Linked DNA regions of Neodiprion lecontei. The protein of the gene in region 1 binds, or shares a complex with, the protein of each later gene. Links are inferred from orthologs where the notes say so. Each region holds a gene or a part of one and is shown on either strand. Other genes may lie near its edges.

Region 1 (6,968 bases):
AGAATTCATAATGAAATTGTCATTGATGTTCTTTACTTTTAATTTACAGGGTGCGCGTCACACGTATTCAGAGGCTGTGGGTAAAAATGTGGCAAATCCCACTGCCATGCTTTTATGTTCTGTCAAACTTCTAAATCACGTTAATTTACGAACTTATGCAGAACAGATCAGAGACGCTATTAATCGTGTATTGAACGATGGAAAAGTCCGCACCAAGGACTTGGGTGGACAAAGTTCTGCAACTGATTTCACAAAGGCGATTATTTACAGCCTCCGTTAGTTTGATATTAAATTTTGTTTAATATTACAGGACAACCTAGACCTCGCAGCACTTTACACGCATTTAAAGCTGCGAAAAGATATTGCAAGTTTGATATTGATCGAATATTAATGACATAGTTTGTGCATAGCATAAATATTCTCGCTTATATGTGTAACTTGTGCTCATTATTCAATAGATTAGGTCACTTTGTAAAGTATTATTGTAATATTAGAAAGGAATGTTGATAAGTCTAGGTTGATTTTCAATATGCAATATTTGTACATAACTATCAACTGATTATGTGATATTCGGTCAAAAACATAGATCTTTGACTTGGAATATTCATGAGACAGAGAATGCATGATCAAGATCTTTGCTTCTATAGTGCATTATTCAATTAATACAGTATTGTCGATTACCTTGTGATTAATACTAGGAAAACCAGAAGTGATGGAGTAGTAATTTTGTCAATAGGTAAATAATTGGTATAGTCCAATTTTAGATGAACACTGTTAACATACGTGAATTGTACAAATAATAAATTATTGTATATCCGATTTAAATTACTGTTTGTTTGTCGGTACTTATGTACAAAACGTTGACAACTCGTACCTCAATGCTGAAAAAGCGATCCAATGTAAACAGTCTACTAGTTTTGCAATCCTTAGTATCCTTCCTTGCCAAAGTTGAAAGCTGAACACGCTCTAGGGAATATGCAGCAATATATTTATTATATAATTATGCATAAAAGCAAAGGCCCGAGTACGGATTATATAGGTATGCAACACGTGACAAAATTTTCGATGGTACTTCATTTTGATTGTCACAATCTGCATTCTTTTCCACTCAATACCTATAAAATAGATCATTCAGAAATTCTTAAAAGATCATTTTTCCAGTTGATCTAATATCTTACCATGATTTACTGCAAGAAACGCCTTTGCCGAGTCCACTAAAACCACCAAGGATTTTTTGCTTTATTGGTAAGGCAAGTCAAAACATCTGAGTAAATTTTCCTTTTCTAAATGATGAATTTGAGCATTCTATCTTTAGAACATGTTTCAACTATTTTAGCCGTACTAGCAATTAGTGAGACTAGTTGATATTTTCCTAGTCTCATTCTTTGGTTCAATACTTTTATTATCTACTAATATTTTTTTGAATACTGTTGGAAAGTATCTCCCCTGCATATGCCATTTATTATTTTCACCAGTGGCCATGTGGTATAGATATGACTTTATACACATAGGGTTTTACCTAGTTTTAATTTCTCTATCATACTATATTCTAATACTACAATGAACACTAATTATTACTTCATTGTTAACAAGATCCAGTAACGTAAACTGCTCGACCTTGTCTTGTTTGACCGGTACTTCTCTTATCGATATTCTACCTTCAAGTTTTTGCACACATTCACAAAATATTTGCTAAAGCTATCTGCAGTATTTTTTTTTTCTACTACAGTTTTATGCTATCCAGAAATTGAAAGTATACTCCTAATATGAAATTTACTATTTACGTTCTTCCATAACACCCTACTTGTTCCAACTAGGTATGCGATCATTTTTGGATTTATTTTATTTTTTTCTATAAATTAATTTACACAGTTTATAATTCTTTTGATTTTTTATTCGAACTGCACTATTCACGTTTATGGCATCCTTAAAAATCTTGTCCCTTACGTTAACTAACATCAGTATCCCTATGGTGACAGACTTTTTTTCTTTGTGTAGTGGGATTCAATGGCTTTCTAAATTTCTCTAAGTTCCTTTGCTTCTCCAATTACAAATGTCACATTTGTATGAACATCATTTTGTCATTTTATCTCTATTCTCTTGTCGCAAAAGTGTTCTCCTTTGTTCTTTTACCATCTGTTTCAAGGTTTTGTAAAAGTATTTAGTGCATCTTTCAGTTTTGAGAATATAGACAAATGTTTTCCAACGTGGATTTTCAATACCATGGCTAATATGTCACCAACGTACTGCCTCATACAAACAAAGTAGTGATTGATGCAGGCGGAAGTTAGTTGTGTTACTCTTGTTGGCTTGTCCACCATGGGTATAAACCTCTGGCCACAAAGTACTTCAAAGTATTCTGGTAAAAGACTGTTTTGGTTCAACAAATTCATATTTATGTCGCCCGTCAGTACTATTTCAGTGTTTTGTATTTTTTTTTGGATCCTTCAGATCTGTGTCAAGACAGCCATGCGGTTCTTGTGTAAGTAGATTGCTATTCATCCGTGTTAATTTAGTTGATTTATAAAGTACAATTAATAGCATATTTTGGATTTTCACAACTTTTACTTAATATCACAATACGTTTCCGTTTATTGTATCTTGATTACAGCTGATTGAGTAATTGCTTAGGAAGTATGAACTCAGCGTTTCGATAATCAAGGTTTTACAGCAAATCATTATATCTAGGTGTTAATAGTTTTCGTACAGAAATCCCTCTGATTCTTCAAAATCTTTATCGATATTTCGAGTTTGTAGTTGCTGTGCTTCGAGCCATTCACTAGTTTGTAACAATTACAGCTCTCAGACCTGCTGGCATGCTTTTACGCATAGGAGTAGCACTATGATTGTATTCACTGTACTAGTAACATCTACTCATATTTATGTATTCGTATACTTAGTATCTATCTCACACAATGCAAGCAGAACTTTGTGTTAATTTTATATACATCCCTGGTGAGACTACCGCAAACACAGGTGTAAAATACGGATGATGGAAAGACGGATTTTCAATTTTCTTCAATGTGACCCACCATCTGAATAAGCATATAAAAATAATGTGATACAGAACGTTGAGAGAGGGTGTTCAAAATTTTGTTGATTTGTCAGACTCATGTGTTTTCAAACTAATTTTTTATACATTCGAACTAGTGTAATCAATACTTTCTCGTGAGCTTCAAATTGTTTATAGTAAAAACTGAAAAGAAAAAAACAGTAAGCTTACAGAAGGATCAGTTTAGAGTAGAGGCAATATTCATATTCTTATCTGGCTTTGCATTTGTAAGAAAAGTAATTGACACGTCTCAAATTACAGAATATTCAGATATATGGAGAACATACAGGCATGTACAGTGCTATTGAGGTAATGAACATAGCATTAAACCAAAATAACCCACTACAAAAGCTTCCCTCTTCAACAAATATTGATCAAAATTGCATATGAATTTTAAAATCATCTTAGAGCATTAGGTGTAGAGAGTACTATTTTATCGTGCTATAATGTTATATGTATCATGTAAAGGTATCACACATGAGATCTAACAAAAACGTCATTGTCAAATAAAAATCCCATTTAAAGAAAGTTGACGAAAAGCAGTCAATATGGTAAAATCCAATTTTATTCGCTTGAAAACCCAAAAACTTTCAAGCTTCCAGCATCCCTTTTTCGATCGTAAGTGTCTTTATCGTCACACGCATATGCCAATAAATATTGTTTTGGATGCCACGCCACCGTAAATGTTGCAGCTTCGACCGGTATATCGGCAACTTTTTCTCCCGTTTCTACCTCTCCAATGTCTATGACCAAGTCTTCAGAAGCAGCTGCTAGGAGTTGCCCATCATGAGAGAATGAAATGGTTCTAACAGGCCATTCCAATCGAGAAAATGTCCTTAGGCAACATAATTCATCAGCATCCCACAGAGACACTAAAGCATCAGCTGACCCTGTTGCGAAGTAACGACCAGTAGGGTCAAATTCAATGCAAATGCATGTCCCTGGATGAGCTTTGATTACATGCAGTAGTTCTAGGTCCGGATAGCTTAGAATATGAACACATCCCTGACCATTTGTAAGATAAAATGTGTCCGAATCTTTGTTCCAAGATATTTCATTGACTTCAAAGTTGAATTGTTCCTCGGCACGAATTTTCATTACTCTTGCATCAATGAATGTCACTAAATCCTCCTTGTTGCCAACTGCTATTGTGTTACCATCAGGCGACCAAGATATATTGATGTTTTCACCCCGTGTCGCAATATTTGCTGTGCATTTTTGAGATCTTGTGTCCCAAATACGCATGGTTTTATCTCCACTTGCAGTTGATAGTAGCTCAGGGTGAAATGAGTGCCAACATAATTGATCCACGCTTCCTCCATGTCCGCGGAACGTTGTCTCTTGTTTCTAGAACAAAGGTTTTTGTATTTATACAAAATGCTTTTATATTGTTTTTAAGTGTGTATTGCATGGAGCTTGTATTTGTAAATTTTTTCACTTTATGGGTTCCATGGATCATAAATATACTTGTATAGTTAATTCCACAATTTATCACCTGCATTGAATAATAACTCTATATTGTAGTTAAATTGAATACATATATTGCATCAAATTTATGAGATTGAAGGTGGTAACAAAATATTTCAGAAAAAATCGCTAGCTTGCAACTTTAGAATTGCTCAAAATGCGATGAATGGAAAATTTTATTTATTCATTTATCAACGACAGTAATTTGCAAATAACGAATTTCGAATCAGAAACGAAAACGTTTCTGTCACAGATTTTTATGAGAAATATATTGTTAGCCTATGAAGCAATAGTCGTGGATGACCCTGTATACCTAAAAACTTTCGATTTATATCAAAATGTTATAAAAATACTGACTCTAATGAGTCAAAATAAGATGACTCTTCATGCGGTCAGTGAAGAGTAAGCACAACATAGTCTTAAACTGCAGAGGTTCATTAAAGTATATCAAATTTATAATACATAAACACGTAAACGCACAGCGAGCTTTTACTCACCAAACGATCGGTTCCAAGAGAAAAAATACAAACACACTTGTCGAACGAGCCGGACGCCAGTAGTCTCCCGTCACAGCTCCAGCCAACGCTGTGTACCTTCGCTGAGTGGCTTTGTTGCTCTTTGATTTTGTTATGTGTTTTAAAATAACTTGTCAACTCGTCGACCCGGCTATTCGACGCTGCCATGTTTATTTGACACAGCTGACCGCACAGCATTGCCAACCTATCAGGCGAACAATTCTTTGAATGGCGCCAAAACAATTCTTTAAAATTCTTCGGGAACCCAGTAAACTTTGACTGAAGATTACAAAGACAGTTACCCCTGGGGTCCCTGGGTAAATTTTTGTGTATTAGTTTTCGGATGGCTTTCGGCGGGCAAGTGTGCCCAAGTGGGCCTGGGAGCGTAGGAGGTTTCTGCTCTATCGACTCTACGTAACGGGCTCGTACCGACATTTGTAGCAGCCAAAGTATGGTCGGTATGAAAGCTTAAGATTGAGACGGTACGAAGTGAGTACGTAAAACTACGTAGCGACTGTAAATGTTAGTACCATAACTTTATCGACACAGTCATTATTTTATTCCAATAATACGGACGGATATGCCTTTTCAATGTGACATAATTTTCCTAAAATCGCTTGCCCTCATTGATCTGTATTCGACCATAATGTCTTGCAGAATTACATACAACGAATTATTTTAAGACATGAAAAGTTGTCATAATTATCGAAATAATTATATTTATTACAATCATTATATAAAAACAACAGTTTCGATTCCTGGCTCCGTCGTTAATTTTTCAAATCACCAAAAATTTTCGAATTACATTCTCTAGCATTTTTCTTTCCGCTAAAATAGATATAACGTATTTTCATATCACTTCATAGACGGCCGGGACCGTCTTACGTGGCTTTTAACAAGTAGTGTCATATACTTGTAAACATGTCACATGTATACAAAGATCTATAATTGTGATTTTTGAGACGAATTTCATAATACATATTTATTATTAATTCCTTATTCATCTGAATTGTATGATAAAATAGATCATGCAATAGATTGTGACGTAAATACTTCAAACTTATAATTGTGATTACTGTTTTGTACATTGATGACGTACTTGTGTTGTCAGTTATTAGCTACGCATTTGCTCACAAGGATTTCCAGGGGACGCCACGAGGAGGCCAACTGACATTGCTCCCCCCCCCCCCCCCCCCCATAGGTCGATCAGCTCGATCATCCCCGTGAGGAGATGCGAAACCGCGACTTAATTAATAACATCGATCAGTTCGATCATCTTCGTAAAGAGACGCGAAACCGCGACTTGGTCAATCAGCTCGATCATCTCCGTGAGGAGATGCGAACCCGCGACATAGTAAATTTAGTCTATAGTTACAAAAATTCTATACGCGCTGCATAGGTTTCTCAACTTTTGAGTATAGATTTTAACGCGGATAAAGTTGTAAACAAGCTGTCGACGATGAAGATCGCATGTTTCGTGTTCAAACCACCCACTACACCTAATTTGGTTCACAGCGGCTTTCATGTAAGGGAAGAGCTCATCTTCGATATCATATTCTCCCCTGATTTTCGGATAACCTACATCGAAAGCCGCGTTTATCAAGTTGACACAAACGAAAATTCCGTTGTTGCTACGCGCAAGTTTCCGAAATCGTTTTCCTCTTTCGTTTCGTATTAATCGTTCTCGATTAATTCTCGATTAATTCTCGAGAAATTATATCAATTTATTAAGCTTAATTACTCGGAAACGGCTTGTCTGACAAAAATCTATAATCAGACCTTTTTTGTAGAAAATTTAATTTTATAAAGGGATAAGTGAACATAAATTTTTTCACTTCAATATTTCGACAGTTCTGACGTAAAACATGAAATTATTACTAACAATCAAAAATAGCGATGAATGTAAGCGTAAAGAATATTTTGCGAAGTTAGCA
Region 2 (6,059 bases), on another chromosome or scaffold:
GCCGTCGGTACAAACCAACCGATATTCGTGGCCGACGGTGAGGGTCCAAGACGAAACGTAACTCTGGACGATTTCTACATTGATGTTTACGAAGTTAGCAACAGAGATTTCGAGGAGTTTGCCAAGGCTACGGGGCATCGAACAGAGGCTGAAAAATTTGGGGATTCTTTTGTGTTTGAGGGATTATTGAGCGAGGAAACAAAGTCTAAGATAAACGAGGCGGTTGCTCAGGCACCTTGGTGGCTACCGGTCAAAGACTGTAACTGGCGTCATCCTGAAGGTCCTGATTCCGACATACTGGGTGAGGTTTTCTTCTATACATAGGTAGTCCAAGAAAATTGGTGAGAAGTAGACGCGCTTCGATCATCACAATCTTAAACACGTTCTCTATGACAGACAGAATGGACCATCCTGTGATTCACGTCTCTTGGAACGATGCCACAGCTTTTTGTAAATGGCGAGGCAAACGACTGCCTACGGAATCTGAATGGGAAGTTGCGTGCAGAGGCGGACTTGTAACTGAACGTCTTTTTCCTTGGGGTAACCGCCTCACTCCAAAGAATCAACACAGGTAAGCTAGTATTGGAATTACGATTGTTCGATTAATTTTTATTTCATTACATCCTCAAATTCGGCGACGCACATTCATTTTTAAATGAAAAATCATTGACAATTGCTTGATTATTCTTCTTTTTTTTTTTGACAAAATACGCACAACACATTTATATGATTCTGTTAAGAAACATGTTACTTATCAATTATTTCTTTAATCTTATTACTAGTATAGAATTTTAATTTACTTTTTCCGTGCAGGACCAACATTTGGCAAGGAGTTTTTCCTAGCAATAATAGTGCTGAAGATGGATTTGTGGGGACAGCACCAATCACAGAATTTCCACCAAATGGTTACGGACTTTATAATATGGTTGGAAATGTCTGGGAATGGACTTCCGATTGGTGGGTAACTGAACACAGTGATAAACCTGCAAAAAATCCTGTAAGTATAACTTTCCTGTGATAACATACACCCAATACCCTTGCAAAAATGAATTCTATTCTAACACAGGAATGTTGCAATTGAAAAAAACTCTCAAAAAAGCTATGATTTATTGCTAAATGATTGTCCTAAGTCAAGATACACAATTTCGAGTACTGGTATTCTTAATAGTTTATGCCAAGCACCTACATTCCATGTAATAATTGTAGTTAAATTTCTCAAATTCATGATCAGTCAAAATTTTGTAGGTCGGACCGTCAAGTGGTACAGACAAAGTTAAAAAAGGAGGCTCATATCTGTGTCATGAGAGTTACTGTTACAGATACAGGTGCGCTGCGCGCAGTCAAAACACACCTGATACTTCTGCTGGCAATCTCGGCTTCAGATGTGCTATGTCGATTTAGCAATATCTGAATTGTACTTAGGTTAAAATATTTTGTAAATACTGGTACACATACGCATGATTGGATAAATTTTTATCAAAGTTTTGATTCTATTTTTAAGCCAGGTCCAAGTCTTCCAGAATAATGTTTGACGTTTAGTATACGTGTGTAAAGAATCATTTCGAAATATGAAGGGTTTACATTATTCCTCAGAAATTACGAACACGATTTTTGGAGCTCGAGATACAGATTTAAGTAGATTGTGATTGTAACCTCAGGTAAACTGTACGTATGGAAAAATGGTAATAAATTTTTCAGAAATTCCCAATCTATTATCAATGTTTCATTCAACGCAAGCACATTTTTGTGACAGCGATCAGCAGGTTATTTTGATTTTATAGGAGCCTCTGGACTTCATTTCCTATTACTAGAATTTATTTTCAGAGATTCCATAATTTTGGAATTATACATCAATAATGTTTGGCAATGAAAAAATTACCAATGCTATAATTTGATTTGATGTTTTTATTTTTTTTTAATTTATAAGTAAAATACTCTATTAGAAATTGATTAATCAAAAAATGTAAATATTTTCGATCCATATTGAATATTGAAAATTTCGTCTACTTTTTAATGACTGTTTGACTATTGGTTTCATTGAAAAAGAATTTCTTAAAATAACCTTAACCTAAAGTATTGTTTGAGTGTATGATATCGAGTATCATTTTACTATCTTAATTTTTTTTATGGGTTTTTCAATCGGCTTAACCTCACCAAATCTCGCTCGCCTCTTTTCTATTCTTGACTCCATTTCAGCCTATAAACAATAAATTATATGATTCATTTTAAAGGCATTTCACAGTAACTGATACACTGCATTGATTAAAAAACTGACACATACTTTTTCCATCACACTAGAAACCGAAGCGCCGAACCTTTCAGCTCTCTTTTTCAGCACCTCAAAGGTCGTATGCTGAAATTAATTATTCACGAGATTTTAATATCATCCCCAAGTTATAAGTGTTCCACGAATCTAACTGTCAAGCTGATTTTGTTCAAAACTTACCACTGGAACGTTTATAGATGCTGCTGACTTACTATTCTGCGTGTTTGAATTAAACCTGGCCGACCTAGCTTCTTTCTTTGCAGACTCAGATAGAGGGACACCAAATTTCTTAGCTCTCATTTCCAGTCTCTGTTCAAAAACGATAATTATCAGATGGTGGATGGATGGAGTATAAAATTTGCAAAATTAATTATTTTTTAACAAGTGCAATAGATGAAGATATTTAGAAGCTGTGAATTTCAGTTGAAAATGCAGGTATGTGACAATCACAAAAAACGTGTAGTTATCATTTTTACCTCCTTAACGCCCAGTTGAGAAAGTTTGATAACCTTCTTTTCAGGTTCACTTGTATCTGATTTATTATTATTCTCTTTTCCAGTTAGCTCACTTTGGATATCTTCGAGAATTGGATTACGATTCAGTACTATTTTTTTGGAATTCGCTGAGTTACTTTCTGTTGACAATTTTCGCTTTTTGCCCACTTCCTGTGAGTCGGGTTTACTAGAAAGTTCCTCTATCTCTTCATCCTACAGGTACATATCATTCATTTATAAAAACGGGAACAGATATACAAACTTGATTCAGACCTGGTAATGCATTATTATTTTAGTGAAGAAACATAATAAACCAATACATTTCAGAGTCTTATATTCGGAATATTATCAATATTTCTGAAAGCTAAAAGGACGTAAAAATATAACTTACTCCGAGAACAGCATCCTCATCTAATATTTCATCCGTAGTCTCGTCAAGTGATAAAGTCGAATCTGTGAAACAAAATATCGGTGGCTGTCAAATATTGAGTATTATTTAATGCAATTCATTAATCCTGGGTATCCTGTAATTAAGCTAACGATTATGGTTTGCATTTTCATAATCCTACCTCCATGCATTGCTAATTGAAGTCGTTCTACCAGCTCGGTTTTATTTCCAGTCGTGGGCAGTCCTCGTTGCTTCAACTCCAACTTTAAATCTGCTACCTGTAATGAATGTCATCAATTGATGCATCAAAATTATTCCCTGCTATAATTAAGTACCTCTCAACTATCGAGAGGTTGGAAAATTGTATTCAAATTTCGAAGAATCTATAATCAACGTTATAAATAAAACCTGACACAGTTCAATCCATAAAGGATAACAGTACCCTTTTTTACAGTAAAAGATCTTTGAGACTTGAATTACTAGAATTTTTCAAGTTTGATTAGTGCACCTTCGAAGCAAAACGTGTTCAGCAATTTGACAACTTTCGGGATGACGATGGTTTCATATATGAAAGTTAAAACATATTACTATTCGAATGACAGAACTCAAAGTAAACTTTCTCCAAAATATAATCATTCAGGGTGCAATAAGATGGTTGGATTCGTTGAGGTTAACGTAAATATTAAATACACAATCGCCGCATGAAACAGTGCTAATGTATGCGCATACCTTCATCTTGGATAACTCGGTTAATCCTTTCTCGTAAGAAGAATCAGCCATAATGAATTATTTTTAATTACTAATTTTCACAAGCGGCAAAACTTTTCGTATTTTATCTCATTTATCACAGAGTTTTGGTACAGGTAAACGCAACAGAGCAAGCCAACCGAAATTCGTAATCACAGTTCGTAACTGTGAAATGTAAGAGGATACGAAAGACCGGAGGAACAATGGCGAAATATAGTCACGCTGATCCCGCCAGTCTCGACCAGTGGCATTTAGCCACACTGATTCAGCCCTGTTTTATCGGTGGCGCGCTTTCCGGCTTGACTGAATTTCCGTATGGCAATGCCGTACTCCATACTGACCAACGGAAATTAACCTCGTTTCAGTTTTTCAAGTGAAATCTATTTTCCTTGTAGTACCGGGTCTGTTACGAAGATTCTAATTGCCAAAATCAATGTTTTTCGGAAGCTCAAAACAAAAACACTGTAACATTTAGAAACGTCGGGCTTTTCTCTGGCGCATCTGGCGGTTGATTGAAAAATAAATTTAGGCCATCTCTCAGCAATGTAAATAAGATAATTTGAGATTTGAAATCTGCGATAGATATTTCATCATTGGTAATTGCAAAAGTTATTCGAAAAGCAATATCTCGAACGGAAATCGAATTGAAAAATCGAAAGAGTGAATCAGTTCTAATGATTATGTATTTTCAACTAAGGTTGCACGTATTGCATTGATCGTGCCTGCGAATTCACTCGCTATATTCACAAAACAGCACTGATTTACTGCTACATGAAAGTCACGTAAGGCACGGATGAACAGAGTAAATCATTTGGTCTATAATTTGGAGTGAGATGACAGTCAATGAAAATTATTACACCCACAACTATTTGTGGCGATAAAAGTTCCAACCGCAAGTGTCGTGCCGATTTATTTATTTATTAACTCTTTAATCTCTTGCCGTTATAATACAACGCCAGGTGCAGATCCGTCCACACGGTGAACGTCAATTTTCTGATATTTTTTGATAAACTAAGTTCTACATAACATTAATATGATGTTTACACAAGCCGCCAAAAATTCGCTCGAGAATTACGACAAAGCGTTTCATCGGCACGCTTTTTACGTAACCTTAGCTGAACCCATGTCACACGACATCCACACTGGTCGGCGGCGTCGCATTAGGAATTGGCGAGCTAAGACGAGACACAGTCTCAAAGGACAACGGTTTATGTACGTGACGCGACAAACGAAATAAACGAAAATGCTGCTCCAATTCACAACCACAATCACAGATCAAGCGGAACGTATCTTGAGACCGTTCCTCGGCATCGATATCGAATTGAAATTCGCATTTCATTATAATATAGCTGTCTTGTAAACGTAATATTTCCGCATGAATTGTAGTAATTGAGTCTTATATGTATATAGTAATGACTTTAATAATTACTCATTAAAGTACGGCATATTTGATTAATAAAAAACATCGCGCTAAAGACTGATGATCTGGAATGTGCTGCACTCTATGCGAAGCTATCAGTGAACATCCTTCTCAGCAGTTGTAGATTTACCTTGCTGTAAAATTTCTATTGAAAGGCATATCCGGAGTATTTTTTTCGTCCGAGCTTCCAACAGCTTGATTAATGCATCGAATAGGTTGTCCATTCGTTACGATTATTCGTAAACGTGGAGAGCGGGAAGAATCTCGTCGGATGAATTCAAATAAACGGGGCCAGCCGTGATTGACGGGTACGGAAATCACGTGGTTGCAATGGCGGGAAATCGTTGGAGTATTTCGAGCCGCGTACGCTTGGTGTCTCTACTGTGAGAACGCCGTCGGCAGAGTTTTGTCAGTAAACATCTCGAGCCAGGGTTAAAATTGAGGGTGATATCGTGAGAGTTTGTCTATTTTGTAGAGTGAAAAGATCATCGGAGTCTACGTAAGATTGTTTAATGAGTGTGGTTGGGCGCGTGGTACGCTCACTGCGGCCACAAATGATCAGGAAAGTTCTTAACGAGGTTGTCACGGAGGGAAAATGTCAAACACCTCGCCAGTAATAAATGGTGAAAACACTGGGAGCGTGGATTTTCGGGAACTGCTTACGGCACCTGGAACTACGGCTAGTGGAGTTAACGCGGCCGCGGCTCGTGCGGCATACAACATGGTTGCAGCAATGAGCGAACA

Evidence for each region. Proteins that work in one complex are often made in the same cells at the same time.
Region 2: THO complex subunit 3 (region 1) and SAP domain-containing ribonucleoprotein share a complex: the UniProt entries of both Homo sapiens proteins name them as parts of the transcription/export (TREX) complex. The link is inferred for Neodiprion lecontei from reciprocal best matches to the Homo sapiens genes THOC3 and SARNP.

What each region holds. Positions count from the first base shown.
Region 1 is NC_060260.1:14,298,830-14,305,797, reverse strand, and holds THO complex subunit 3, read right to left. Parts: upstream 5,280-6,968; 5' UTR 5,233-5,279; coding exon 5,017-5,232; intron 4,400-5,016; coding exon 3,617-4,399; 3' UTR 536-3,616; downstream 1-535. Other genes in the region: isocitrate dehydrogenase [NAD] subunit beta, mitochondrial, read left to right, coding at 50-280. UniProt on the Homo sapiens protein: Component of the THO subcomplex of the TREX complex which is thought to couple mRNA transcription, processing and nuclear export, and which specifically associates with spliced mRNA and not with unspliced pre-mRNA.
Region 2 is NC_060263.1:36,078,578-36,084,636, forward strand, and holds SAP domain-containing ribonucleoprotein, read right to left. Parts: upstream 4,116-6,059; 5' UTR 3,929-4,115; coding exon 3,878-3,928; intron 3,427-3,877; coding exon 3,330-3,426; intron 3,214-3,329; coding exon 3,152-3,213; intron 2,974-3,151; coding exon 2,743-2,973; intron 2,576-2,742; coding exon 2,447-2,575; intron 2,354-2,446; coding exon 2,282-2,353; intron 2,198-2,281; coding exon 2,102-2,197; 3' UTR 1,402-2,101; coding exon of another isoform or gene 1,246-1,401; 3' UTR 998-1,245; coding exon of another isoform or gene 814-997; 3' UTR 583-813; downstream 1-582. Other genes in the region: formylglycine-generating enzyme, read left to right, coding at 1-301, 397-571, 814-997, 1,246-1,401; male-specific lethal 1 homolog, read left to right, coding at 5,911-6,059. UniProt on the Homo sapiens protein: Binds both single-stranded and double-stranded DNA with higher affinity for the single-stranded form. Specifically binds to scaffold/matrix attachment region DNA. Also binds single-stranded RNA. Enhances RNA unwinding activity of DDX39A.